5 linked regions of the Danio rerio genome follow. The protein of the gene in region 3 interacts with the protein of the main gene of each other region in a pairwise test. Links are inferred from orthologs where the notes say so. Each region holds a gene or a part of one and is shown on either strand. Other genes may lie near its edges.

What was found.
Region 1: the proteins of flna (region 3) and myoz1a interact in binary tests that used the Homo sapiens proteins (3 or more experiments, as listed by UniProt). The link is inferred for Danio rerio from reciprocal best matches to the Homo sapiens genes FLNA and MYOZ1.
Region 2: the proteins of flna (region 3) and fabp1a interact in binary tests that used the Homo sapiens proteins (3 or more experiments, as listed by UniProt). The two-hybrid records come from large-scale screens. The link is inferred for Danio rerio from reciprocal best matches to the Homo sapiens genes FLNA and FABP1.
Region 4: the proteins of flna (region 3) and pelo interact in binary tests that used the Homo sapiens proteins (3 or more experiments, as listed by UniProt). The link is inferred for Danio rerio from reciprocal best matches to the Homo sapiens genes FLNA and PELO.
Region 5: the proteins of flna (region 3) and rflna interact in a two-hybrid assay, tested with the Homo sapiens proteins (2 studies listed by BioGRID). The two-hybrid records come from large-scale screens. The link is inferred for Danio rerio from reciprocal best matches to the Homo sapiens genes FLNA and RFLNA.

Annotation. Positions count from the first base shown.
Region 1 is NC_133188.1:25,416,744-25,422,452, forward strand, and holds part of myoz1a (myozenin-1a), read left to right. Parts: intron 1-2,398; coding exon 2,399-2,586; intron 2,587-4,227; coding exon 4,228-4,492; intron 4,493-5,709. UniProt on the Homo sapiens protein: Myozenins may serve as intracellular binding proteins involved in linking Z-disk proteins such as alpha-actinin, gamma-filamin, TCAP/telethonin, LDB3/ZASP and localizing calcineurin signaling to the sarcomere.
Region 2 is NC_133180.1:78,474,915-78,481,318, forward strand, and holds fabp1a (fatty acid binding protein 1-A, liver), read left to right. Parts: upstream 1-2,117; 5' UTR 2,118-2,153; intron 2,154-2,495; exon of another isoform or gene 2,496-2,506; 5' UTR 2,507-2,513; coding exon 2,514-2,580; exon of another isoform or gene 2,581-2,991; coding exon 2,992-3,164; exon of another isoform or gene 3,165-3,291; intron 3,292-3,393; coding exon 3,394-3,483; intron 3,484-4,910; coding exon 4,911-4,964; intron 4,965-4,991; 3' UTR 4,992-4,999; intron 5,000-5,029; exon of another isoform or gene 5,030-5,126; coding exon of another isoform or gene 5,127-5,261; 3' UTR 5,262-5,511; downstream 5,512-6,404. Other genes in the region: histone-lysine N-methyltransferase SMYD1a, read right to left, coding at 5,127-5,261.
Region 3 is NC_133198.1:22,691,687-22,697,395, forward strand, and holds part of flna (filamin-A), read left to right. Parts: intron 1-26; coding exon 27-144; intron 145-226; coding exon 227-489; intron 490-707; coding exon 708-1,026; intron 1,027-1,108; coding exon 1,109-1,282; intron 1,283-3,028; coding exon 3,029-3,191; intron 3,192-3,307; coding exon 3,308-3,468; intron 3,469-3,602; coding exon 3,603-3,770; intron 3,771-3,859; coding exon 3,860-3,983; intron 3,984-5,053; coding exon 5,054-5,210; intron 5,211-5,303; coding exon 5,304-5,493; intron 5,494-5,709. UniProt on the Homo sapiens protein: Promotes orthogonal branching of actin filaments and links actin filaments to membrane glycoproteins. Anchors various transmembrane proteins to the actin cytoskeleton and serves as a scaffold for a wide range of cytoplasmic signaling proteins.
Region 4 is NC_133187.1:13,763,476-13,769,109, forward strand, and holds part of pelo (protein pelota homolog), read right to left. Parts: intron 2,240-5,634; coding exon 2,193-2,239; intron 2,094-2,192; coding exon 2,020-2,093; intron 1,877-2,019; coding exon 1,805-1,876; intron 1-1,804. UniProt on the Homo sapiens protein: Component of the Pelota-HBS1L complex, a complex that recognizes stalled ribosomes and triggers the No-Go Decay (NGD) pathway.
Region 5 is NC_133183.1:51,760,371-51,766,617, forward strand, and holds the start of rflna (refilin-A), read left to right. Parts: upstream 1-2,473; 5' UTR 2,474-2,702; intron 2,703-3,470; 5' UTR 3,471-3,603; coding exon 3,604-3,819; intron 3,820-6,247. UniProt on the Homo sapiens protein: Involved in the regulation of the perinuclear actin network and nuclear shape through interaction with filamins. Plays an essential role in actin cytoskeleton formation in developing cartilaginous cells.

The sequences.
Region 1 (5,709 bases), on a different chromosome or scaffold from region 3:
TATTGCAGCATTTTTGTAAAGTGCTACAAAGACTACATAGCTACATAGACAAGCATGTTTTGACTACACTTTATTTTGATCAATTTTAGACATTCTGTTGTCTATAAGTAACTCTCTCATTAGAGTAGTATTGGTAGACTGTTAGTAGGGTTAGTAGAATAAGTTATGTTTTTGGATTTTTAACCTTATAGTCAGTATATGTCTGAAGGACCATCAAAATAAACAGTTAGCAGAACAGATAAATCTGACCGTCTACTAGCATGCTAGTTGACATGTTAATGTTGCATAATGGTCAAAACAAAAAATTATTGTTTAATTAATGGCAGGTGCGGCGCTTGCTTCACAGCAAGAAGGTCGCTAGTTTGAGCCTTGGCTGGGTCAGTTGGCGTTTCTGTGTGGTGTTTGCATGTTCTCCCCGTGTTGGTGTGGGTTTCCCCCACAAGTCCAAAGACATGCGCTATAGGTGAATTGGGTGTGCTAAATTTGCTGTAGTGTATGTGTGGGAAAGAGAGTGTATGGGTGTTTCCCAGTGATGGGTTGCAGGCAGCTGGAAGGGCATCTGCTGCATAAAATATGTTCTGGATAAGTTGGCGGTTCATTCCGCTGTGGTGACCCATTATTAATAAAGTGACTAAGCCGAAAATAAAATAAATGAATGTTTAATTAAAAATGAGATATTTAAAGTATCCAGCAGACATGATTTTTTGACTCTTTCTAGAAAGTTCACAGAGACAGAAATGGCTGAAAGCATGTTATATTAATATTACAAAAGCATCATATTTTATTATTTTGAAGACTCACACTACACAAATAAATGAATACACATATACACATAAATGACAATCACCTCTTGATAAACCTAAGAAACCCTAAACTGCAGATTACCTTTAAAAAAAAGAGCTTGTTTAAAAAGAACAATAAATAAATAGTTGTTTTTTTTTCTCCAGTACAACTAAAATATTTAAATTGTTCAATAGGTAGCTATAACTAGTTAATTTACAAATGTTTCTTTCAAGAACTGTTCACTGTAAAGAACCGGTTCTATAAAGAACCCCAAATGTATGTCTTCACTGACATCACTCCAAAATAATATATTTGGAACAGTCTTGGAAAAAGTGCATGTTACTTTATGTGGCAATTAACATTTAAATCAGATAGTATGCAATAGTCAACATTTGGTCAACAGGAATAGGTGTTGTTCATTTTGTTTTTGCTTGGTGGAAAGAGTACTAAAAAAATCATACTCAAGTAAAAGTACCATTGCTTGCCCAAAAATGTAGTGTGAGTAGAGTAAAAGTACCTGTTGTAAATATTACTCAAAGTATGAGTAAAAAGTAGATCTTTCAAAAGTACTCAAGAGTAGTGAGTAGTGAGTATTACACTGTAAAAAGCTGTTACATGTAATTTGTGTATGTGTGTGGAAACGTAACATTCTGAGGTGCATTTAGTTATTGCCCAGCAGGCACACAACGTCATAAGACATTAATATTAGGTTAGATTTAGGTTGTGATGTCAGGTGACCAAAATTCAATGTCTAGACAGCGTCTAAGGACATCATTATTTTGACTTGTAATAACGACATCTAATGATGTTGATATTTGGTTGATTTTAAGTTGTGTTGAAAAGTGACCAAAACCCAACGTCGAGCCAACGTCATATTGACGTCAAATATATTTATTCATCAGGTATGGCAACTAAAATCCAACATGTGATAGACGTCGTAGTGGAAAAGATCACACAAACATCATTAGATGTTGATATTGAATTGATTTAAATTAGATGTTGATATTTAATTGATTTAAGGATGGACATTGGACTTTGACGTCGACCTGACGTTGGGTTCTGACGTCAACCTGGTTTTCATTTTCATGGTCTTCATTATGATGCGATTTGCCTTCTGTGTGATTTGATAGAACAGGAATCCCAGGACTGATTTTTCAAAAGTAGTGACTGCTGATTGAAGGAAAGTAGTGGAGTAAAAGTACAGATACATCACTAAAAATGTACTCAAGGGAAAGTTAAAGTACAGATTTTTAAAACTACTTAGTAAATTACAATTCCTAAGACAACCTACTCAATTACTGTAATTTGAGCATTTTTAATTAGTTACTTTACACCACTGGTTTTAGGACAGCTTTGTAGAAAGGGGATGATTGATTAAAGATGATGTTGACAACCGTACAGCTAGTAGGAAGTATTTCTCACAGCTGTGTCAATGTAGAATGCCAGATATGCTGTAATGTGAAGATTGCAGATTCACAGACATAGTGGAGCAAAGAACAACCCAACTTGCAGTTATTTATTTCAAACAGATATGGCGACAGAGATTCAAAAGCTCAATGCTGTAGTGTCATGGTGCCCATTGAAATGTAGTGTAACTCTTTTTTTTATTTTCTAGAGTATGAATCAGAGCCAGAGGCCTCAGAGTTTGACTTGGGGAAAAAGATCAGGGCACCCAAGGACATCATGCTAGAGGAACTGTCCCTTAATAAGAACAAAGGCTCCAAGATGTTCAAGATGAGGCAAATTCGAGTGGAGAAGTTTATCTATGAGAACAACCCTGACCTCTTCAGTAGTGAGTCTATGGTAAGGCAGGCTAGAAGTCAAAGTCCTATGCATATTTGTTCACAGATTCAAGATTATTTACATAAGATTGTCATTACTCTTAAATTAGTTCTTCTGTGTATCAGTGTTCTACCTGCATTCAGACTCTTTATATTGATCAAGGGTAATACTAAAATAATGGTCCATTAGGTAATGTTAGTTAATGTATTAACGAACATGAACAAACAATAAGTAATACATTTTTTAGGTATTAATTAATCTTTGTTATTGTTAATTAATGTTATTTACAGTAATGAAAAAATAGGACACCCCATGAAAGCCTGGATATTTTGAAAAAAAATTAATATATGGTTATTTAATCTGAATTTTAACAATACTGAAATATTAAGGTAATATAAAAACAAAGCAAATAAAAACGTATTTAAATTAAAGATTTAATTCTACAAAACGGCATATTCTAACTGAGGAAAAGGTTAGAACATCTCACATTTATTCACACTTAAAATGGCTCAAATCACAGACAGATGTACCACAACAGATGCACGTTATTAGTAAATCGTTACTCAGCATTTTGAATGACGCTTGCCATTTCTAAACCTCTGAAATTTATTTTGATGTGCTCCTGACTGTTGAAGTAAAAGTGAGCACCAAGGTTAGAGCAAAAGAGCTGTCTGAGCTGTCTTAGTCGTCGCAGCAAGTTTACACGCAAGATGCTAAAAGAGGTCTCTAAAAACCCTAAAATGTCTTCACGGGACCTACAGCAGGCTCTGGCTACTGTTGATGTGAAAGTGAATGCTTCTATAATCAGAAAGAGACTGCACAAGTTTAACTTACATGGGAGGTGTGCAAGAATAAAACCTTTGCTTTCTAAGACAAACATCAAGGCCAGACTGAAGTTTGCCAGATAGAATAATGACAAAGACCAGGGCTTCTGGAGTAATGTTCTTTGGACAGATGAGTCCAAAATTTAACCATTTGTACACCAGAACAGGCAACATATTTGGCATTTAACGACAACATTCCAGGAAAAAAAACTCATATCAACTGTAAAGCACTAAGATGGAAGTGTCATGGTTTGGGGTTGCATTGCTGCAACAAACAAGGTGCACATGCAAGAAACCCCTCAAACAGAATTCTGCATTGAAAAGTGTGCTACTCTGTCCTCAGACCGATGTCAGAGACTGGTAGATGGCTAAGAAATGTCTCACTGTAGTTATTTCAGCCAAATGGGGTTACACAAGCTATTACGGGGTAGGGTGTCCTAACTTTTTTCTTGTAAAATTACATTTACATTTTTTCAGCTAAAATTGTTTAATCACATTACCTTAATCTTTTTAAAATTGAGATTAAACAACCATATATTAAAAACCTTACAAAAACCCAGGGTTTCATAGGATGTCCTAATTTTTTCACGACTGTAAGTTAATTAATGTTAATTAATGTTAAAAAGCACAATGTTAGATTTTGATAATGCATTAGCAGTGTTGAACTATGATTAGTTAATGCTTTACAAGATTATTCATAGTTTGTTAATGTTAGCATTAACTAATTGACCAAGTGTTACCTGATCAAGTTCTTATTGCTAACACTAAATGTTTCAAACATGATCTGAATGGTGAATTGGAAGCACCTCCACTAATTATTATGTTACTTTTTGTAAAGGATAACCTCCAGAAGTTTGTGCCCAGCCTGGGGGGCCAGATGATGGATGTTGGTGGACGCCTGATTGGTGGACAGATGGCTGGGCATGCTGGTGGGGTCGGCCAAGCACCCGTGCCTCCTCCTAAACCCGGAAGCTTTGGCAAGGGAGCCGGGGGTGGGCTGCTGGCTGGTGGACTCGCTGGAGGACCTGGAGGTGTCGGAGGTGTTGGAGTGTCAGGAGGAGGAGTAGGGGGAAAGGATGGTCTGTCAGTAGATATCTCACTGAGTAAGTATAGAGAAAAGTTAGAGACTTTTTTTACACTAGCCAGATCGCCCATATATGAAACTTATAGTAATAAAAAGCATAGTTAATTAAAAATATGATATGCCTATCATTGTACTAGAAAAGCTAAGACAGGCGACACGGTGACACAGTAGGTAGTGCTGTCGCCTCACAGCAAGAAGGTCGCTGGTTCGAGCCTGGGCAGGCGTCAGTTGGCGTTTCTGTTTGGAGTTTGGATGTTCTCCCCATGTTCACGTGGGTTTCCTCCGGGTGCTCTGGTTTCCCCAACAGTCAAAAGACTTGCAGTAAGTGAATTGGGTAGGCTAAATTGTCCGTAGTGTATGTGTGTGTATGTGTGTGAATGAGTGTGTATGGGTGTTTCCCAAAGATGGTTTGCAACTGGAAGGGCATCTGCTGCGTAAAACATATGCTGGATAAGTTGCCGATTCATTACACTGTGGTGACCCTAGATTAATAAAGGGACTAAGCTGAAAATAAAATAAATGAATGAATGAACTTAGTCAACTTAAAACAGAAACCGAAAATACAGTAGTCATCATTTTAAGTGAATCAAAAATGATTTCCAAAATTGTCCTAGGACAATAATGGATGTTATTCAACAGTTTTAGGACAACTTTGATGAAAGTTGAGGATCCACTTCAAATGTTGACTACAGTAGTTTTTCTTCCATATTGTTTTATAATAATTATTGATTCATTCATTTTCTGTCTGGGAGAACATGCAAACTCCACACAGAAACACCAACTGACCCAGCCGGGGCTCAAACCAGCGACCTTCTTGCTATGAGGTGATTGTGCTACCCACTACACCACCATGCTGCCCTTTATAATAATTACTACAGCATTAAATAAAATGTTTTAATTTGATGGTGACTTTAAATAATATTTCCTTCGGCTTAGTCCCTTTATTAATCTGGCCACAGCGGATGCCCTTCCAGCTGTAACACATCACTGGGAAATACCCATACACTCGCATTCACACTACGGCCAATTTTTAGCTTATTCAATTCACCTATATTGCATGTCTTTGGACTGTGGGGCACACCAGAGCACCCAGTGGAAACCCACCGCAACACAGAAATGCCAGCTGACCTAGCCGGGGCTTGAACCAGCTGTGAGGCGACAGTGCTAAGCACTAAGCCACTATGTCACCCCAAACTAAAGAATAAGTAAAACTTAAAAAAGTAAACATAAAAGATT
Region 2 (6,404 bases), on a different chromosome or scaffold from region 3:
ACATAAAGATGTGTTTAACTTCCAATTAGACAAACGTTTCCAAACCTTGGATACAAGTAATTCAATTATTATCTTATACAATTGTAATACAATTATTGAAAGTATATGAGTGTGTAAAGATATAATTAAACCAAATGCAGGAGTGTCAATGCAGTGCACATTGAAAATACCAATAAAAGCACATCTTCCTTCAGCTTAGTCCCTTTATTCATCAGGGGTCGCCACAGTGGAGTGAACCGCCAACTATTCCAGCATGTGTTTTACACAGCGGATTCCCTTCCAGCTGCAACCCAGTACTGGGAAACACCCATACACTCTCATTCACACACACTCATACACTACGGCCAGTGTAGTTGATCAGTTCCCCTATAGCGCATGTGTTTGGACTGTGGGGGAAACCGGAGCACCCGGAGGAAACCCACGCCAACACGGGGAGAACATGCAAACTCCACACAGAAACACCAACTGACCCAGCCGACACTCAAACCAGCGACCTTTTTGCTGTGAGGCAACAGTGCTAACCACTGAGTCACCGTGCTGAACGGTCACCTGTTTTTGAGATTAAAAATAAACACATACAAACAAATCTAAATCAATTCCTGTGGTCTTTTTAATTACTTCATAAATCCATAAACAAAATAAATCAGCAGTTAGAAAGGAGTTATTAAAACTAATATGTGTTGAAATAAAGGCGGCACGGTGGCTCAGTGGTTAGCACTGTGGCCTCACAGCAAGAAGGTCTCTGGTTACCAGCTGGGTCAGCTGGTGTTTCTGTGTGGAGTTTGCATGTTCTCCCCGTGTTGGTGTGGGTTTCCTTCGGGTGCTCCGGTTTCCCCCACAGTCCAAACACATGCGCTATAGTAGAATCAAACTAAATCAGGGTTTCTGCAGGTTTCTCAGAGTTATATGTAAGACTTTTCAGACATTTTTAAGACCTTAATGAATTAATTTTTAGACCCATAAAGGGCTAAATGCAAAAGATTTTTTTAATAGCCCAGATGGAAAAGATTTTATTTGCCCTATCAATTTACACTTAATTATAATACTTTTAATAATACAATAATAATTTAATAATACAATTTTTGCATTATTTTAGATTTTATTTCTTAGCAAAATATTTTGCATATTGTGTGAAATCAAGCAAGCTCTACATGTTCCCATACACTTTTATTCCAACATAAACTTAAAGAAAAATAAACAAACAAAAGTTTTAAAAACTATAATTAACTAAATGTATGCACAACAATCAGTCCAGGTCAGTATCCTCAGCAGTAAATACATGGAGCACTTTTAAACAAATGTAATAGTAAGGAAAATTATTTATCTTAAAAGTAAAATATTGCATTAATTTAAATAAAAGGTTTAATGTTTTATTGAGAGGATTGTGGGTGATTGTATGGGTTTTGGTCAGATTTGGTAGCAATACATGAACAAAGAAAAATTAAGACCTGTTTAAAACAGATTTAAGATCTCCAACACAATATTTCAGAACATTTAAGACTTTTTAAGGCCTAAAATTTAGATTTTGAGATTTAAGACATTTTAAGACCCTGCAGAAACCCTGTAAACTGGCCGAAATGTACGAGTATGTGTGTGATTGAGTGTGTATGGGTGTTTCCCAGTACTGGGTTGCAGCTAAAAAGGCATCCGCTTAGTAAAACGCATGCTAGAATATTTGGTGGTTCACTCAGCTGTGGCGATCCCTGATGAATAAAGGGACTCAGCTGAAGGAATATGAATGAATGAATCTTGCAAAACATCTGACATAATATTACAGTATATACTGCCATACGGCATAATAAATCAGTTATTAGAAACAAGCTATTAAAACCAGTATGTGTTGAAAAACATCTTCTCATAAATAAACAGCACTTGGGAATTATTTGAAACAAAAAATAATAATTAAAATGAATATACGTGAGAGTCGTGAGAAAGCGGAAACGTCTTGAGTTGTGTGCAACCTTTGGACATTTATTCCAGACTGGCGCATTTTCTCAGTGGCATAATCATAATCTGATCTGTCTTTATATAACGGTGTATTGTGCATTGATAGGTTTAAAGTCTGACGTAACAAACCCTCAAGGAGAAGAAAACCGCCTGTAGGAGCAAAACGCTGCATTTCTGCAGGATCTCCTGAAGCTGAACACACACACCACAGGTAAGAGTTCAGATTTAAAGACGCAGTACACCTAATAATCAAAATATCTGTCATCATTCAGTCTTGCTTTCAAGAGTTTCTTTCTTCTGTTGAACACTAATGAGGATATACCGAGGAATGCTGCATATATATATATATGCACACACACACTAAAAATATCTGCTAATTACAATTTCCAGTATTTTGCAAGTGTTTTACATTCATTTGTGGCTGTGAATTGCATTATGGAAAGTTGATCTCTGCTCTGTCGACTTTTGATGCTGAAAAAAAGAGACTTTTATAATGTAAGAAATCATGTTAGCAGAGTAAAGTCTGAGTAATAATGTGTTGTGTTTACCTTTGATTAATCAGGCTGATGGCGTTCACTGGGAAATATCAGCTGGAGTCTCACGAGAACTTTGAGGCGTTCATGAAGGCAGTCGGTGAGAGAAAAACACATCACTAATGCTTTTCTTGTCTTGTTTCTAGTCCAGCTAGCTAAACAATCTTAAATCAAGAAGCATTTTCTAGACAAGCACAAAATATTGTCTTGTTTTAAGAAATAATGAGTCAAAATAAACTTAGTTTTTTATTAAAACGAGCAAAATAATCTGACAAGGAGGTGAGAAAAACTAGATGATTTCACTTACACCATTGGCAGATTATTTTGCTTGTTTTAATGATAAACTCTCTTTATTTTGACTCATAATTTCTGAAAACAACACATTATTTCTTACTTCTTTCTCTAAAAATGCTTCTTGATGTGAGAATATTAGATATTTGGATTAGAAAGCAGGAAGTTCTCATCGGTATATCAGCATGCAGGCGTATTTCACAGCTTGGGTTTTCTCCAGGTGTGCCGGATGATGAGGTCGAGAAAGGCAAAGACATTAAGAGCATCTCTGAGATCCATCAGGACGGAAAAGACTTCAAGGTGACGGTGACGGCCGGAACTAAAGTCATTCTGTACTCCTTCACTGTGGGCGAGGAGTGTGAGCTGGAGACGTTCACTGGAGACAGAGCTAAAGTCAGTGTAGTCTGATCATCAACTATATTACTGTAGATCAACAACAACATAAACTCACATAACATTTACTGTAAAAAACAAACCCTAGTAGCTGTGGTTGCCAGTTTTTCACCATGAAAAATACAGTACAAACCATGCAAATCTTTTCAAATTTACACTATACATTTTTTACAGTGAGGTTTTGTGGAATTGATCAGTGTGTGTGTGTGTGTGTGTGTGTGTGTTTTAGACTGTGGTTCAAATGGATGGTAATAAGCTGACAGCGTTTGTCAAGGGGATTGAGTCTGTGACGGAGCTGGATGGAGACACTATCAGTAACGTAAGTCAACATCATCTCTTCATGGCAGACCAAATTAACCTAAAAAGCGCCCTCTTCATAACTGCTTTTTTATTAGTAAGAATGTTATTAGAGCTAATAGAGCTACTAAGAATGGTATTAGAGCGCTATATAATTATTATCTTTTACCAGAAAGAATGCAGAGAGATCTGTTATTGTGTTATTACAAGAATGGTATTGGAGAGCTCAATAATTGAATTTCTACTAGTTAAAAATGGTATTAGAGAGCTCTATAATTGAATTTTTACAGGATTTACAGCATTAGAGAGCTCTATTTTACAAGTAAGAATGGTATTGGAGAGCTTTATCATTGAATGTTTACCAGTAATAATGGTATTAGAGCTTTATAATTGATTTTTACTAGTTAAAATGGTATTAGAGAGCTCAATAATTGAATTTTACTGGTAAGAATGGTATGAGATAGCTCTATAATTGAAGTTCTACTAGTTAGAATGGTATTAGAGAGCTCAATAATTGAATTTTTACTAGTTAGAATGGTACTAGAGAGCTCTATAATTTAACTTTTACTAGTTAGAATGGTATCATTGAATTTCTACTAGTTGGACTGGTATTAGAGAGCTCAATAATTGAATTTCTACTACTTGGACTGGTATCATTGAATTTCTACTAGTGGGAATGTTATTAGAGAGCTCAATAATTGAATTTCTACTATGGTATTAGAGCTCAATTTTAGAATTTTACATTTAAGAATGTATTAAAGAGCTCTATAATTGATTTTTTACTAGTAAGAATGGTATTAGAGAGCTCTATCATTGAATTTCTACTAGTGAGAATGGTTTAAGAGAGCTCAACAGTTGAATTTCTATCATAGTATTAGAGGTCAATAATACAATTTTACTTTTAGGAATGGTATTAGAGAGCTCAATAATTAAATATTTACTATTAGGACTGGTATTATAGAGCTCTCCCATTTAATAAAAATATATATCTTTAATGTAGGTTTCTTCTAGTAAAATATAATTGTAGAGCTCTCCAACTGGAATTGTTAATAGTGAGAATTTAATTAAAGAGCTCCCTAAATGCTTTACCTAGTATAAATCCATTAGATCTGTAATTCTAATCAATGGAGGTCAACGGCGACATTACCAGTGAAAATGTAGTTATAGCGCTTTCTAATTGTGTTAATTACTACTAGTATGGATTGCATAATAGGGCTCTCTAAACATAATTGTTAGTATGAAGAACTGAATTCCAGAGCTCTCTAATAGTAACTATTAATAGTAAAAGATAAATGAACAGAGCTTTTTGTCAATGTTAAAATGAAAGATGAAAGGAGACTGAAAGCTGTGGACAGGTTTAAACATGTCAAACTTGACCATGTCTGAATTTGGGGTGTGTGATTAGTAACTCTGTGTACAGTTTAACCTAATTAACGTATCTGGTTTCAGACTCTCAGCTTTAATGGTATCGTCTACAAGAGGATCAGCAGACGCATCTCATGATCATCATCATCATCTTCATCTGTGTGTTTGTAAAGGTGATTCTCCTACAATCAATCACAACACAGCAGCATCTGCAGAAATGCATTTATTGCATGAATGATCGCATGTTTCTGAGTTTGTTCATGTGTGTGTGTGTGTGTGTGTGTGTGTGTGTGAGTGTGTTCATGCTTTGATCTGCACTTGTTCTCCAGCGACGCTCATGGGTTTGCTGGTGAGGGCGGCTTCACGCATGCTGTGATAAACATGTTCGTTCTGCTTGAACATGCGCAGCTCCATCTCTGTCTGCCTCCGCATCGCCTGAAAACACACACACACACACCAGCATCACACACACTCTTCTATATTCTTCTGCTATTGATGGGATCATGAACATGATTGATAGACTGTTTAGTTGCTTCATGGTGAGACAGCAAAGGTTAAATCAGTTTTTCATGCACTCTATACTGTATTTCAGACTAGCGGAGAATGCTGAATAGACCTGGATGTGTTTGTTGTTAAATGTTTGCATCTGTAGAGTTCAATGACAATAAATATCTTCAGTTTGAAACATTGTGAGTCAGAAATCTCCACTTCAGCAGCACAAACACACAACTTTATCCATTACATTATGATGCTGTGTATTGTTTGTTGGCGTGTATAATGGTGTGATTGTGAGTATTGTTGTGTGATGTGTTTATTATGGTGTGCAATATTGTGTGATGGTGTGGATTATGATTTGATGTGTGTGTATAATGTTGTGTATTGTGCTGTGATGGTGTGTATTATAGTGTGATGTTGAGTATAATAGTGTGTATTAATGTGTGATGGTGTGTATTAGTGTGATGTTGAGTACAATAGCGTGTGTTGATGTGTGATGGTGTGTATTATAGTGTGATGTTGAGTATAATAGTGTGTATTAATGTGTGATGGTGTGTATTACTGTGATGTTGAGTACAATAGCGTGTGTTGATGTGTGATGGTGTGTAATGTTATATGATGGTGTGTATTATAGTGTGATGTTGAGTATAATAGTGTGTATTAATGTGTGATGGTGTGTATTGGTTTATGATGGTGTGTATTATAGAGTAATGGTGTGTGTTATAGTGTAAAGTTAAGTATAATAGTGAGTATTAATATGTGATGGTGTATGTTTTAGTGTGATGGTATGTCTAATAGTGTGTATTGATGTGTGCAATAGTGTGTGTTGTTATACAATGGTGTGCAGCAACAGGTGTTGTACCTCCAGATCTCTGCTGATGGGGTGATGGTGTGTATCGATGTGTGATGGTGTGTGTTATAGTGTGTATTGGTGTTTGATGGTGTGCCGCAGCAGGTGTTGTACTTCCAAGTCTCTGCTGATGGTTTGTATTATAGCATGATGGCGTGTGCATTATAGTGTGATGATGTGTATTATAGTGTGATGGTGTGTATTATAGTGTGATGGTGTGTATTATAGTGTGA
Region 3 (5,709 bases):
ATGTTACCATCTCATTTCTGCTATAGGGCAACATGGGTTTGAATGTCACCTACGGTGGTGACCCTATTCCCAAGAGCCCATTTGCAGTAGCAATTGCCCCCTCTCTGGACCTCAGTAAAGTTAAAGTGGCTGGTCTTGGAAGTAGTAAGTAATCTATTTCCTTGTTTTGTTTGTAATGGAATACCCTTAGAATTACCACATATCAAACGGTTTGCTCTTTCTACAGAAATGACTGTTGGAAAGGATCAGGAGATCACAGTCAAATCTAAAGGTGCAGGCGGTCAGGGCAAAGTTGGCGCAAAGGTTACTGGTCCATCTGCTAAATCAGTGCCCTGTAAAGTTGAACCAGGCCTGAGCCCAGAAACCAGCCAAGTTCGTTTTATCCCAAGAGATAAGGGACCCTATGAGGTGGAACTGACATATGATGGCGCCCCCATCCCTGGCAGTCCATTCCCCATCGAAGCCATTGCACCTACTGACCCATCCAAGGTGAGAGCACTTTGGAAATGAAGTTAAACATTACTGCTGGTTTAACAAGACGACAAAAAGGCGTCAGGAAAACTCTCTCGTGGGCTGTTTAGTCTATAAACTAATTTTCTTAGTGTTGCGCAACACCTCAGACTTGGCATCTGAGCCTCATGTTGGCTTTAGCGGCAGAGAAAATGTACTCTTTGATCCATATCCTGACATTTTGTTCTCATGTGTAGGTGCGATGCTCTGGGCCAGGACTGGAGCGGGCGAAGGTTGGCGAGCCTGGACAGTTTGTGGTGGATTGCACTAATGCTGGCCCTGCTGAGTTGACCATCGAGATCATCTCTGACAATGGCACTGAGGCTGAAGTCCACATTCAAGACAACGGCGACGGGACCTACACCATCACTTACGTCCCTCTCTACCCTGGAGCCTATACCCTCACCATCCGCTACGGGGACCAGGATGTGCCAAACTTCCCAGCAAGACTCCATGTGGAGCCTGCTGTGGAGACCAGTGGAGTGAAAGTGTTCGGACCCGGAGTGGAGGGCAAAGGTAGTGCAGATTTCTGAGATTTGTTTCAGGAATCCGCTGTCTGTATTTGGATATTTGGTTACTTTTGAATGTTCGCCTGTAGGTGTTTTCAGGGAAGCCACTACAGATTTCACTGTGGATGCCCGTGCGCTCACTAAAACCGGAGGCAATCACATCAAAACCTGCATCAACAACCCATCGGGCAACCGCACTGAAGCACTGATCCGAGATCTGGGAGACGGCACATATCAAGTGGAGTACACGCCTTATGAGGAGGGTGAGTGTTAGGGCTGTTTCTGTTTCAACTTAACATGATTAAAAAAACAAAACAATTGGAATTCTTTGTGCAAATTTCTGAAAACTGTTCTATTTGATTCTTATCCATCATGGGTATTATGTGTTTAACAAACCTGTGGAATACAAGACCATATATGGGGTGCGTGCGTGATTGCGTGTTGTTTTTTTCAACAAGGAATATCACATTTTTTGTGGATTTGTATAAACAGATTTTGACATGAAGCTATTCAAGAGTGCAAATGAAAAACTTGATAATTTTCATTACATTTATTGTTCAAACATTATGTCTGGGGTATTTGAAAGATTTTTAAAAGGTGCTTTAAGTTTGTGAATCTCTCTATGAATTTTGATCTATCTGTTATTGAAAGTACAGTTGGGCTGTAGAATTATGGCTAAAATGAGAATCATGATTCGCACAATTTTCAAGATCTCGATTTTTTTTTTTTTTTTTCACGATTCTGTATATGTAAAATAAAGGTTAATAAGAGTAAGCTATTATTATTGTTATTTCTCAAATTTATGGTAAAACAACAACAATAAGAATATCAGCCATACGTGTAGTTTTACTATTGGTTAAAATGCTCAATTTTGTATAGTTCTGGAATTGTGCATTTGAACAGACTTTAAATATGTCCTGGTTGTTTATTCACAAAGTGATTATCAGAATACAACTTTTCATAATTTTGAAGTTGAATTATTATGTTTGAGACTTGTGCTTGTCATTTGTCATTGACAACAATATTAGATAATTTTTTCCACTGGTAAATTGAAACATGTCATTATCGGATTCCCTCTTGCATTATATTCAACATTATATAGGCTAGAGTAGTTATTACTGACCTAGTAAAGATTTATTCTCATACGCAACACTGTTGGGTATGAAAGAAAAAAGATATCAAATGCTTGTCGTAATCATTACGGACTTTTGGTTTTACTTTCACTGCCGAGTATGCTTATGACATGGCTGCCGTCACTTTGAGAAAAATAAAAAAATTAAAAATACACACACAAATCATACTTCTCGCACGACCCCCAAACAATTGCTCTGTGCATCAAACTGAATGTTATTTACAACTTTATTACCTGTTATTCACAGCCTGTGCAGGTTCTGTTCACTAAAAGAAGACATCATTGGAGGGCACACGCGCTCTGTAAACAGTACACTGTAGTAAACAAACAGTATGTCCGCTCATGCGTGAATACATCACATTAAGTCAGAAATTAAACTTTGGAGTAAATTATACCTCTTAAATACATCAGGTGACACTTTAATCGCCATTTGGAGGCGTCCGTGCTGCTGAGCAACGCATATAAAACAATGTGAAGTCTTGTGCACCTATAAAAATATAGGTGACTGAATCGTAAAAAAGAAGAATTAAGATCATGTGTAGAGTTGAATCAAAATTGTGACCTCTTAAATACAGGTGCTTAAATACAGTTAGGATAAAAAGAAAAACTTACCAAGCATTTATTATTTTGATAAAACATACAATCTTTTCACTCAAAAAGAACACTGCAGCTTGTCCCCTATCTTTCTACTCTAAGAATTATTCATAATTTTTAAATTTTTTTATTTTAGTAGTTTAATACATAAAATAAACAAATTTGATAAGGTGTGTACATCCATGCATTAAGGTGGTTATTTTAACAGAAATATGCACCGCTCTTTAAAATGGCTGTGAAATGACAGTACTTCACACTAATCTTTTGTACCGTATGTTAACAGGTACACACAGTGTTGAGGTTGCATATGACAGCTCCCCGGTTCCCAAAAGCCCCTTCCGTGTGCCAGTGACCGAGGGCTGTGACCCGGCGCGTGTGCGTGTGCATGGTCCAGGACTTCAGTCTGGCATCACCAACAAACCTAACAAATTTACCGTGGAGACCCGGTGAGCAGCATTCTGCTTTGCGTTTCAACCTTCAGCTGCTGCTCCTTCAGTCAAATCAAAGTCTTAGTAGATCTTGGATTAAAGTGCTCTGCCTCACTACTTTGTCTTTTGTGCAGTGGGGCTGGTACTGGTGGACTGGGGCTGGCTATGGAAGGACCTTCTGAGGCCAAAATGTCCTGCACCGATAACAAAGATGGCAGCTGTTGTGTTGAATACATCCCATATGAGCCAGGGACATACAACCTCAATGTCACCTATGGAGGCCAACCAATCACTGGTCAGATTTCATAAATGTTATTATATGACTAATTTTATTATTATTATTAGTTTAATTATATTTATATTCTTCTTTATTTTCCAATTCTCATAGTCCATATCCAAATATTGTTTGTTTTTTTTGTCCTGCCACAGGAAGCCCTTTCTCTGTACCTGTCCATGATACTGTTGACCCAACTAAAGTGAAATGTCAGGGCCAGGGGCTTGGAAACAACGTGCGTGCCAATATCCCACAGGTCTTTTCTGTGGATGCAAGCAAGGCTGGTATGGCGCCACTGCAGGTCAGAGTTCAGGGACCCAAAGGTGAGGAGTTCGATTTTTAAGAATCCTCTTCTTTTTTTTTTCTCTCCATTCCACTTAAGGTTGTTGGTGACAATATTTATGTCTTGTAGGTGTTGTGGAGCCTGCTGAGGTGGTGGATAATGGTGACCAGACTCACACAGTCAGCTATGTGCCCACAAGAGAGGGGCCATACTCCATTAATGTTCTGTATGCTGATGAGGAGATCCCACAGAGGTGACTTGGAAAAACAGATCAGTCTTCCTACACCATAGAGATACCACTTCACCCAAATAATTTTCTAGGCCATGTTTTACTTGCTATTATTATGGATCTAGCTGAGATTTATTACCAATTTTGACCATAATCAGAATTTTGTTACAAATCTCATTTTTGCTGCACTTTTTCACTACACGTCTTGTCAGTAGTGACTCTAAAGAGAATCTTTAATTAATCTGAAATTGTAATTACCTCTGGAAATGGATGAACAAACTCGAAACATTTTAGGCTACATTTTTACTTGTATTTTGTGTCATTAATTGATCATTCATATGTTAATACCAGTGTAAATGGTGCATTAGTGATGTGGTAATTACTACACTGTAAAACTCAGTAGTCAATTTTATCAAACTAAATGAGTGTCGGTAACTCAATTTACTGAAAGTTAATTCTACTAATTTGAAAAGGGTTTTGAACTTTGTTGAAAGTAACGAGTTAATTACATACCCCATTACTTCAACTTGGAGTAAGTTCACAGTACTCGTATAGATATTAGTTAACTGAAGTTGTTTGTAGCAATCTGTTTCGATAAACAGTTTGAGTTGCCTTAACTTATTGGGTTTTACAGTACTCAATTGGTTTAAGTTCTCTTTATAATTGGGTTCTACTGTGCTCAAATTCCTTTGTTTACTTAAATGGAGTAAGTTCACAGTACTCATTAGGATTAGTTTTTAAACTTGAATGGTTACCTTAACTTTTTGGGTTTTACAGTGTATAAACAATGGTTCATGCAGTAATATACAGTACATACATTCTGTGAGTAAATATGATTATATCAGACTTTTAACACCCTAGATAGTGAGTATTAATAATTATTTAAATGACTATTTAACAGCATGCAGTATTTAATAGCAGATTAGTTTATGCTCGGGCCTCAAATTTGGCATTTGAAATATTGTGAAATTTGTGGCATTGGCATGGACTACCGGAGTTGGTATTATAGCAGGTCTGGTGCATTTTTAAATTCCCTTGGTCCCTGTCTTTCCCTGCTCTTTATTTTCCCTCTCTCTTCTGCCTTCTTTATTCAGTCCTTATAAGGTGAAGGTTCTGCCCACTCATGACGCAAGTAAAGTCCGTTGCAGCGGTCCTGGCCTGAATACCACTGGTGTTCCTGCCAGTCTGCCCGTGGAGTTCACTATTGACGCCAAAGATGCAGGAGAGGGACTGTTGGCCGTCCAGATAACTGTGAGCTGATGAGTCACTTTACAGCCGTAGCATGCCCACTGTCTAGTACAACCTTTTTAAATAAATCCATTTGCTTCTCAATGCTTATTTTAGGACCCTGATGGGAAGCCAAAGAAGGCTAACATTCGTGATAATCAGGACGGGACCTACCTTGTGTCCTATGTGCCTGACATGACCGGCCGTTACACCATTCTTATTAAGTATGGTGGTGATGAGATCCCGTATTCTCCATATCGCATTCGAGCCCTGCCTACTGGAGACGCCAGCAAGTGTACAGTCACAGGTATGTTTGTACATTTACTGATCACTTCCACATGTACAGTGCACAAGCTGTTTATATTCATTTTAGATTGAACTATTGAGCTGCCAGAGCTTTGGAGGTGTATGATGCACAGCATGTCTAAAAGTCAATACTGTGGTTTGGCTCTACATGACGATCCAATAAAGAAGGCCTTGATGATAATTCAATATGGATGAGCATAAATACTGTCATTATTCA
Region 4 (5,634 bases), on a different chromosome or scaffold from region 3:
CAAGTCTTCCATTTTAACCCAATTAGCCTGACATAATGATCTCTAGCCTTGTTCTTGTCAACATTCTCAAAGTTAACAAGGCGATAACTGAAATGATCTCAGCAGGTCCTTTAATGACAGCAATAAAATGCAGTGGAAAGTTTTTTTCAGGATTAAGTTAATTTTCATGGCAAAGAAGGACTATGCAATTCATCTGATCACTCTTCATAACATTCTGGAGTATATGCAAATGGCTATTATAAAAACTTAAGCAGCAACTTTTCCAATTTCCAATATTTACGTAATTCTCAAAACTTTTGGCCATGACTGTAGACATACAGTGCTAAGCAAATATTTGAGTACATCCCATTTTGAAAATGAATATTTGTATCCATTTCTCGGTGAATGTAAGCAATGTATTGTCGTGCATTTAAACAAAACAGATTTTTAAAACAAATATATTTATACAAATAATATTTTAATCACCAAACATATTTAGAAATGAAAAGATAATACAATTCAATTCAAGCAAAATAACGTAAAAACAATTACAACTTACAAAATTTCAACTAAATTTTTACATTTTTCTTCTCTTTATTTTCCCTCTTTTTTTAATTTGTATTTAATATTTTTCTATAACATAAATGTGGGTGTACTAGTTTTTGGACTGTTATCATAAGTTATTTTGTTAGATAAGCTCTAGATTTGACTTCAGTACTGACTAATCTAGTATATATACAATTATAATATTGTATAGATTCCTATTAAAAATATGAATTTAAAAGATAGATTTGGGAGTTGTGTATTTGTATATGCTGAACACTGTACGCTGATATTCATATATTCAATATATCGTGTTTATGAACTTGCGTGATATTAATATTGTGGGCACAAACTACTCTACCAAGTAATTATTTGAGATTTCAATTTTTAGAGTGCTTTAAAGAATAGTCAGATTCTATTTGCAGTGGTTGTTTTTCACACCACCAAATGCTGGAAGACTTAATAGAAGATTTATTTTCAAACATTAACATGTTTATGTTAATCTGACCAACGAAATTGAAAATTCATTGACTTTTTATAGGCTTTTTGTTCATTAACTCTGTACAGTACAGTTAAATGTTTTAACATCAGTTAATTTAAAGTCAATGCAATGACAACTACAAAAACATTTATTAATCTTAGGTGATCTTAGTTTAAACTAAGAAAATAAAGTGAGAAATTCTAGTTTTAATAAATGAAGTTAATAACTAATTAAGTTATATTTATTATTAACTTTAACATATAACTATAATACGGCCATTTCTTATTGTTGATTGTAGTGCATTACCTAATGATTACCAATGAAACTGTGTTACCTATAGCACTTTATCATCCTTTTGCAATTAAATATAACCAAGTATATGCAATAAATCAAAACACTAGGTAATGTTTGGTAATTATACCTTTCAACGTAGTTGCGATAAGTATTGTAAGGTATAGTGATAATATCATTTATTATGATAAAAGCTTTAGCAATTAATTGCAAATTCACCCACCATAGTTTAACCAAAAAAGAATGTTTACTTTCTATTTACTCATGCTCAAGTGGTAAAAAACCCGTAACCACTGACCTCTATAGTAGGAAAAAGAAATATGAAAGTCAATGGTTACATGTTTTTAGTTTTCTTATAAATTTCTTTTTTTGTGTACCAGATTTGAAACCACTTGAGGGTGTGTAAATAGAGAGTACATTTTCATTTTGGGTGTACTATCCCTTTAAGTACACAATAAACAAGACAATACATTTATAAACAGAACATTTAATAGGGATTTTTAAAAGTACCTGAATAGTGTGTCACTGATCAGCAGGATATCAATGGCCAAAGCTTCACTTGCTCTTTCCACATGAGCCAACCTGTAGAAAACCAAAATGAATGCAAATATCTCATAAATAATAAGTTACACTGATTAAAAAAACACACACACAAAAGTTATCCTTATTAAGGTTGAGTGTACTACTGATAAGAGTTGCTCATTTAAATGATAGATTGTGATCACCCGTAGAAAGCTCGATCCGGCTCCTGTTGAAGCATCTTGTAAAAGTCCTCCAAAGCCTTGACCTCTCCAGCTGCCTAATACAGAAAACAAATATCACACAGTAATAAACCCCACCCTGTGCTTGCAGAAAGCCAGAAGTTATATTTGCAATTGTACAAACTAAACCTAGTCACCTTGGTGTCAGATAATCGAGCCGTGACTGCTGGATCACACAGCACCTCTATAAAAAGCAAACATCGCACATTGAAACTTTATAAAATATGTTTCTAAAAATAAACTTTAAGCATTCATTTATTTTCTTATCGGCATAGTCCCTTTATTAATCAGGGGTCGCCACAGCAGAATGAACCGCCAACTTATCCAGCATGTGTTTTACGCAGCGGATGCCCTTCCAGCTGCAACCCATCACTGGGAAACAACCAGACACACTCATTCGCACACATATACTATGGACAATTTAGCACATGCTTCTGAACTTGTGAGCAAACCGACAGGAACACGTGGAGAACAAGCAAACTCCACACAGAAATGCCAACTGAACCAGCCGAGGCTCAAACCAGCGGCCTTCTTGCTGTGAGGTAATCATGCTACCAATGACTGTAAAAAATATGGACGACGCGACAGCCCCTTTTACCATTGAACGCCTTGAGGGCAAAACGCCTGCTTGACGGGCACAAACTGTCGCAAAAGACTGCTGAAATTGGAGCCTTGACATGCGCAGAAGGACTGTCTGATGGAGCCAGAGGAGGAGCTGCGAAAATGAGTCGAGCTTCCAACCAAACGCTTTATGTAAAATCAACCACGCCCCCCGAACTTCTCAGCATGCGTTTGCTGTCATATCAACACAAATGGATGTAATAACGTTAACAAATATGAGGGTTTTATATATTCAATCGTGCCGGCTCTGGGCCGCAGCGCATAACCTACTCTCGGCGTCACGGGCTGATTCCGGCTCGCATGCGGCAGCGCCAGCTCGCTCGGCCGCCGCATCTGGCTCGATTGACTCGGGCTGGAATCGGGCAGTAAGTCCAGGCATCCGGAGTAGGTCCAGCAGAGGTAGTCAGTCTGAGCTCTGATGGGTAAGTCTCCGACAGGCGAGAATCTAACCGGAACTGGCCCGAGTGTATTTTGCTATCTGGGTGGCTAGGCGTGTATTAGCAAACTAAAAAAGCCCGAAAAAAGCCCTGACCTTAGCGAATAAACAGTGTTCCACCAGGATCATGTATGTCAGAAACTGTAGTTTACTGCTGAACTCATTTTGTCATGGTGAAATAACACAGAAATCGAATAATAACACTTCAGTCTTCTGCCGAAGCTCAGACGCGCTGCTTTAAGAAACTGTCAATCACAGCTCTCAATCACGATGACACGCCCAGCATTAAATTACTGCTAAAAACAAACTGTTTACAAAAATGAAGATCTGCACCTATTTCAGCACAATAACCAGTGCCTTAATCGACCAGAACCATCTTTCGGGACATTTTATTGCAAGTGTAATTAATTTTCTTATTTGGGCTCAAGTCTCCTTCATTAACACGGAGAAGGCGGGCTTTATGACTTGTACTGCAGCCAGCCCCCAGGGGGCGATCTAACGGCCGAGACCTTCACTCAAACGCAGGCTTGCGGCACACTTGCATGCTACCCACTGCGCCATCTTGCTGTCCCATAAACCTTAAACTGATTTATAAATGGAAACACAAATAAACATATAAGTTAATACACTTTTAAAATGTATTTCTTAATAAAGATAATATTTAAAATCCATGTGAACTGGAAGATGCTGAGACTTCTTTATGTGGATGCACTCAAAACTAATGAAATAATAAAGTAGGGGGCTGGGTTTTCTTTTGTGCATCATTCCCTCATAACAAACTAACGGTAAAAGTTATTGCACACTGATGCCTCATTCACACTAGCAGGTCTGTGTAGGTCTCCAGCACGGAGAATACAAACGGCCTCTAAGCGAGCTGAAGAAAGATGACATGAGCTCTACTGGTGCTCCTACTGGTTGTCGCTCAAAAAAAGTCGCTCTTCATTTGCATAAAGTTGAAGGATTCTCAACTTTGTTTTGTCACTAGACACGCCCACCTGTTTGCCAGCGGTCACTCGCGTAGACGAAGGTCGCCGGAAGTCGCTCACTCTCCGTTGAAATAAACGGTTGCTTGTTCCTCGTCATGTGAATGAGGCTTGAATCGGTTTTTGTACGTTAAAAATTTAATTGGTAACACTTGATGGCCCATTTGAGTATTAGAAGATACAGTTGATACAGTTTTGATACAGATATTCAACAGACATTTGACTGACTATAAGAAAGTTTGCAAGTACATGTCAACTTACACTAACTCTAACCCCAACCTTACAGTCTACTTGTAATTTAATGAGAATTAGTTAGCATGTAGATGCAATGTAACTTAAAGTTAACAAACTGACCATCAAAATAAAGGATGACCAATTAATTCAACCTCATGTTGTGTGAATCGTATTGACACAATGCCTCCAAAACTTTTGTCCATTATAAAATCGAACCGGGTTTGATTTTTTTCCACTTTTCGCATCCGAAAAAGCACTTTGAGAGTGTTTTGACAGTTCAGAGCCACCAGCTATGTTTCCATCCAAATATTCAAATCAATTTCATGAGCAAAACTGGAATTTCACAACAAAGACGTGTGAATAAAGCAGTGTTTCTATCCAAACAGTCAAAGAGAACAAAAATTGTCACTTCCAGATTAACTGGAGGCAAATATCTACAGTAAAAACGATATTTGCTACGGTAGAAGCTGCGTCAATCTTTTACTAATTTAATAAATGGCTTGCGCTTCAGAAGACGATGCCGACGCGCATTGAACAAATGGTGGTGTTTGAATGCGTGAAATTGGGGGCACAGACACTTTTGACAGTTCTGGAGGTAATTAATAATGTAATAACACTAATACTGAAATGGTTACGACAATTTAGAACAAACAAAACAACTTTTCAAATGATTTGTCTATTTACACACTTTTTTATCAACACATGATCTCTTATAACAATAATCACATGCGCATACTGAAATTTGTGCGGTAAAAGTGTTTCCATCTTAGTTTATGCACATATTTTCTTATCGAATAAAATGTTTATCCTACTCACTTATGCGCATATGTTTTGTATGCACATTTTCAAAATTTATGCGCATCTTGCCGTTTCCATCAACCTTTTTTTTTTTATGCGCATATCCAAAATGCACATAAAAATAGGTGGATGAAAACAGCTACTCTACAAGCAAAAAGCTAAATACAGACTGCTGTCATTTGAGTAACAGATAACTTTATGACAAACACAGTGCATAAAATGACAAAATGTAGCAGATAGTTCAGAACCCCTATATCAGGGATCACCAAACTTGTTCCTGGAGGTTCGGTATCCTGCAGATTTTAGCTCCAACCCTAATCAAACATACCTGAACAAGCTAATCAAGGTCTTACTAGGTATACTTGAAACACCTAGGCAGCTGTGTTGAGGCAAGTTGGAGCTAAACCCTGCAGGGCACCGGACCTCCATATACAAGATTTGTGACCCCTGGCCTATATGCTGGATTCAGTGACTGGCGCACCTCTGCCCTGCTGCTGTTTGGCGTGT
Region 5 (6,247 bases), on a different chromosome or scaffold from region 3:
CCTCGAGCCCGGAGCTCCCTTCCGTTGCAGGGCGAGAGGGGAGTTTGACTCGGGTAGATCTCGAGGACCCCCTCCCTCTTGCTGCGTGAGGGTTGCTAAGGTGATGCGTTGCTGACAGAATTGAATCGAATTTGGTGCTAATTTGGTTTAGTCAATTTACTTAAGTGTCATGTTTTTGGGAGTGTGGGAGGAAACCGGAGGACCCGGGGAAAACCCACGCAAGCACGGGGAGAACATGAACTCCGCACGAAACTGCTGATTGGTTGGGTGGATACCCGAGTCGGAGGCATTTTTTGCTGTGAGGCCACAGTGCTAGCCACTGGGCCACCGTGCTGCCCTGTAGAAAAGAGGAGGAGAAGGGGTGGAAGGGGGGATTCTTCAAAACGAAGATGACTAAAGGTAGGGTGTTTGGTTATTTATACTAGGTTAGGAATAGCCTGATTGGTGGTTCATTCATTAGCTTGACTCGGGGCCAGCTGTGTCAATCATAAGCACGTGATCCTCTCGAAATTAGTTTATGAATAAACTTCACTTAATTTGAATTTTCGTCTCAAATTTACCAAGTTCGCTCTACAAAATGAAACTCTTAGCGCATATGGACTGTTAATTTGTATTTAACTGTTACTGTACGTAAATGGAAGTTTTACCTAACATAATTCAAATTCAAATTCAAATGCTCAAACGATCAAATAATAAATCTAAATGCGTTCTTAAACAAGAAATTAAATGTATTTGATATTTAATTTTAATGAAATGAACAACTCAGAAAAATCCTATAATAATTGAATGACAAATCAAATGCTCAAACTATAATTCAAATGGAGGAGCTAATTTCTGATTCTTGTGATTACACACACACAGCTGGAAGCTCATGATGGACTGAATGCTTGGATTTTGTTTGTTCTTATAATGTATTATCTCTTAGTACCGATTTCCAAAAGAGTTTTTGTGTTTACTCAGTTTCAAACATTTTAGGTCAGTGCAGTTGCTGTTTTCAAAAATTGAGTACATGAGAAAAAGCGAAAGGAAATAAGAATTATTTTTTGTTAGGAGTTTTTTTGTTTACTCAGCTGGCGTTGTTCAGGCAGAAATAGATTTTAGCACCTGTTTTATAAACTACATAGCAGACAGGGCTGAGAAACACTTATATTTTGTTTACAATATGCTCAGTTATTACTAATTATTTATCATTTATCAGTGTGGCATATGTGGTTTGAAGAAACCACACAGATGCTCTGAAGCGGTGTTTAACCATGGATATGGTTGTAGTGACGTCCATTATGAAAATTAACCAGGGTTTTATTATAGTGAATGTGTAGTAGCCATCGTTTACCATTATTAATCTTTTACAGCCATATTTAAACTATGGTTTTTGGCACAAGTTTAATTTGTGGTCACCTTGGTTAAACTACACTTTTCATTTTATTTTCTTCTTTATTTGTAGTAAAAACATGGTTAATTTCGTTGTGTCACTCTTTTTTTTTTTCTGATTGACTTAAAATTAGGTATTTTCTAATCATAACACAAGCTCCTGATTCTTCGAAGACTTAAATTACACCCACAAAAAAAAAAAAAATAATAAAATATATATATATATATATATATATATATATATATATATATATATATATATATATATATATATATATATATATATATATATATATATATATATATATATATATATGAATTTATAGTAAATATAGTGATTTTGAACCATGATATAATAAATTACCTGAATTAATCTGTTGTAGAAGTAACACAGTTTCTATGTATGGTGACCTAACTGTAGTAATAAACAATTGACCCATTACTATGTTTTTTTACTATGTTTTTTAATATAATTGCGTATATTATACTACAATAAACAACAGTTTGCAGTTGTGAAACTAAAGAATACTGCGGTATTTACTACAGTTTGTCACTTCATTACAGATAATATGCTGTAGTGTGTTGTAAATACTATAATACAGTAAAATATACTTGGCTAGTTTGGTTCAAAAAGTGTATTTACTATGAACTACTATAGTACTTTTTCATGTAGGCAGAGAAGGAAAGTTGTGTATCGGCCAAAGATACAGGTCACCCTAATTTTTCAGAAGTGTGACACACTAATCCCACAGTAACCCAGTACACTTTCTCAAGAATCAAGGCAATTTAAAGCCACAAATGTTCTTCAGAAATCGCAGAGGTGCATTTTTTCTCGCAGAGGTCAGTTCTAAAGCATTTTAAAACGTGTAAATTGATTTACACTAATGCTTTACACACACTTTCGCGGTTTGCTTTATATTATTCTCTAAAAGCCAAACGTTTTGCTGAAATGTAGGGCAGAGCTGTCAAACGCAGCTGTCGGTCCCCCTGCTGGTTGGAGCTTGTATTGACATCATCTGCTCGGCCGCTCTGGATTGGCTCCAGGCGCATAAAGGCTGGCGGTCAGAGTGCGCGCTCTCTACTCGTTCTCAAACTGGCGCAGCGCTGCTGGGAGACACTTCTGCACTTTCAGGAGGACCACAGACGAACAGAAGACACCGGCTATAATCAGCTGGGGACTTTTGTGAGAATTCAGCGAGTTCTGCTGTTCACTTTTGAAGCTGCCTGTGAGAATATAATCGCGCCTACTTTGGATTTTACTCTTTGAGATCATGAACTAACGTGAACTTCATTCACGGAGTTTTAAACGGCGGGATTTATACAATTCAAAGGTAACCTAACGTTAGTCTCTTTAAGGGACAGCTATCGCTTTTATACAGTCTGAATCTATTATAAAGCGCATTAGGAGTGGCTTTTGTTTATGTTTTAATTAAATAAAAACAAATGCATGTGACTGGTCTGCGTATTATTCTGTAACGAGCACTTTTGGAAACATGTTCGGCGGCGTTTCCAAATCTAGTAAGATGCCTACCTAGGCGGCATTTTGGGCATCAAAATATGTGCGCTAAAAAAAGTTCTGGTAGTGTTTTAACTCTCTTCAAAAACACGCTATGTACACTGGCACCATGCTAGATTTAGTACAGTCATTATACATTGTAATTATTTAGTAGCCTAAATGCTTTTTAACGAATGAAGTCAGTTGGTAAACTACTGTATAGGGCCATGTACTGTAGTTGTCAAACTGAGTTGTCACAAGGATTATACCTCAGTAAGCAAGGTTTTAGGTGTTCAGGAGAAGTTGTCACATCTTATATTGGTATATACTTACACAATATTTAGTGTTTTAAGTCAGATCAGCAGTTTGAAGTAGTTATTACATTAACATTTTGCTGTTTCAGAAATGTTGTTTAGGTTTAGACACATTTTTATATTTAGAATTAAATTTAGATTATTTTTTTACAACCTACTTAAATGTGAATGTATCTGTGTTAAAAATGACTCTCAAAAATCCTTTAAACCTGAGGAGAAATTGTGTACAAGTTGTGAGAACTATCTCTGTTCTTCCATATAAACCATATATGTTATTACTTTTGTTTCAGGCTTCTGAAGGAAACAACAGGTCTCCCTGTGTGGCTTTGTTATGGGACTTTAACTTTAAACACATCTTGCATCGTCTTTCTTCTTGGAGTGAATTTGGCTAGTTTAAAAAATTATAATTGCGCTCTTCCAGAAATGGTGGGGCATTTACATTTGCAAGCTATGGATGACAGTTTGAAAGGAAAGAACCGAGAGGGACTGCTCGATAGTCCGGATTCGGGACTCCCTCCAAGCCCCAGTCCACCCTTCTACTCTCTGTCGCCGGGGATTCTCGAGTCGCGGTCCGCCAGCTGCTCAACCCCGACCGAGCTGCAAGGATACTGCAGAAAGGAGAGCCGGGAAGGCAAACTGGTATGCAATCATCTCAAAGCTTTAGAGGAGAACCAAGAAGTGCATTTTCCTGGATCAACATCCTTTGCAGGCAGTGGAACAATATCCTTATCAGCAAATCAGTGCACTGATTTTAAGGATAGGGGTAGGGTATCGTTTGCTGTCCAGGAAAAGTATGTTGATGCAGGAACATGTCCTACTTTGGTAAATCGTACTATGCAGTATTTAGACATTATGTATGACTCAGGTTTCAAATAAACACATCACATCATGATGTACATCAGACATATTTTTATTACAATCAGTTTTCATTGACTACATTCACATCAAGGATATTACTGAGAGCAGTGTTCAGTATGGTTACACTCACACACACTTCAGTTACAGACAAGTGTGACTTCTGCACTTTATAAGTGAGTGTGTTTTCTCTTTGGGGATTTGGAGAATGAGCTGTGTGTCATCCAAAGGTTTTAGATAGAGTTGTTGTCTAACATGAGTTTTGTGAGCGGAGAGATGAGCTTGCATCTTAAATGCACCCAACTTTTTTTGGATCGAAAGTTGACAAAAGAAATAATAACTTGGTTCTGTGCATGGGTTTTTAATTGGATGCAGATCTTAAATGTGAGCTTGAGGTTGTGTGTTAGAAAGCGAAAGGGTTTAAGCAGGATAAATGTTTTGATGTGTCCTGCAAACACCAGAGACAAGTCTGTCATACTAGAAGATCCTTTTATTAAAATTTAAATGGGCAATGTTTGCTTGAGTTGTATTAGAACTTTAAAAGAGAGGTTTCCTCAAATCCAAGGTATTTAAAGGCTTGTAGACTGATTTTTAACAGGATGTTTTTGGTGAGAAAATCAAAATAGTTCAGATATTAACTCTTGTAGGAATCCTTCATCTAGGGCTGGGCGGTTAATTGAAAATTAATCGAAATCAACATTCAGAACCTATAATCGATTGAATTTTTCCTGAACAATTTTTTCAATTACTTTCCCTACCGCATGTGGAGTCACATGACCCAGCTCTGTTAAACGCTGAGGGTGATTAACTTTGCACTTTGCAGCCACATCTGCTCTCTGGTCAAGTAGTACGATGGACCCATTTTTAGCCTTACTTTGCACTACATTGGCGATGATTGGAAGCTGCATCAGAGATGCCTTGAGACGGCATATTTTCCATTACATTAAAATCATTATTCACATTAATATATTTGTTTACAGAAGAAATGCACTATTTAAAATATTATTTACAGCCTGGGTATACAAAATTTATTTTATTTAAAAGAGAAACTGCTTAATTTCTACTTTTAATATGAAATAGATTGAAAATGTTAATTAAAAATATTCAAAAGTGCAAGTTGTTTAGGCAAAGTGTGCTTTAATTTCAGTTGTTCAGAATTGTTGTTTATTAATAAATCATAGATAGTGTGTGTTTCCTTCAGTTATTATAAACTTAATTTATGCACCAATCATACAAAAACCTCTTACTTGCAATTTGGGAGCATATTTATGGAACAAAACTTTTTAGTGAACTATGATGGCAAAAAAAAAAAAAAAAAAAAAAAAAAAAAAAATATATATATATATATATATATATATATATATATATATATATATATATATATATATATATATATATATATATATATATATATATATATATATATAAAATAATCATTCATTAATCGTAATCGAGTTAAAATGTTCAATTAATCGAGGTTTTGATTTTAAGCCAAATCGCCCAGCCCTACTTTCATCCATATGAAAAATGAAACGAATGCTTATACAATGTGTACAATAATGTTGAAAGAGTTATTCTGTTTATGAATATTAACATATTTATGTTAACGTCACTCTCAGCTTGGAAAGTGTCTGGATGTTCATTATTAGAATATCGCAACAAATATTTTTCTACTTCCTTTTTAGCTTCTAATTAAGTTATGATAAGACAAATCTTAATGAAATCCACTGTGAAAATATCTGAGCATTGTATCATGTTGGATCTTTTGTGTTATGTGTGCATGAGTGCGGCATGAGAAATAAGCTGCTGACTGCAATTTTCTTAACTCTAAAAGTCAGCAAGACCCGAAAGTTGCTACATACCTTTATTTCAGAATAATGATGTATTTTGAGAAACTGAGATCAAAAATTGAGTAGGTGGGGTTTTATTTTTGCACAAATAAAAAATCATATTTTACTCAACTGCAAATAGTTGGAGGGGTCGTGGTTTAGCATATTTCAACCAAGCTGTCAAACTGAAATCATCAGAGAAGGATTACAGAAATAAATGGTTTGAATTTATTTTAATTATTTTTGTTCAATAGTTTAATCTACACAGATTAATTAGCCACAAAAAAACATTGTTAATTAAGATTTGTTGCAGACCCTACAGAGTCATTAATAACAAAGGTTTATGAATTACACAAACAGAACCTTTAATTAAAAATGACAAG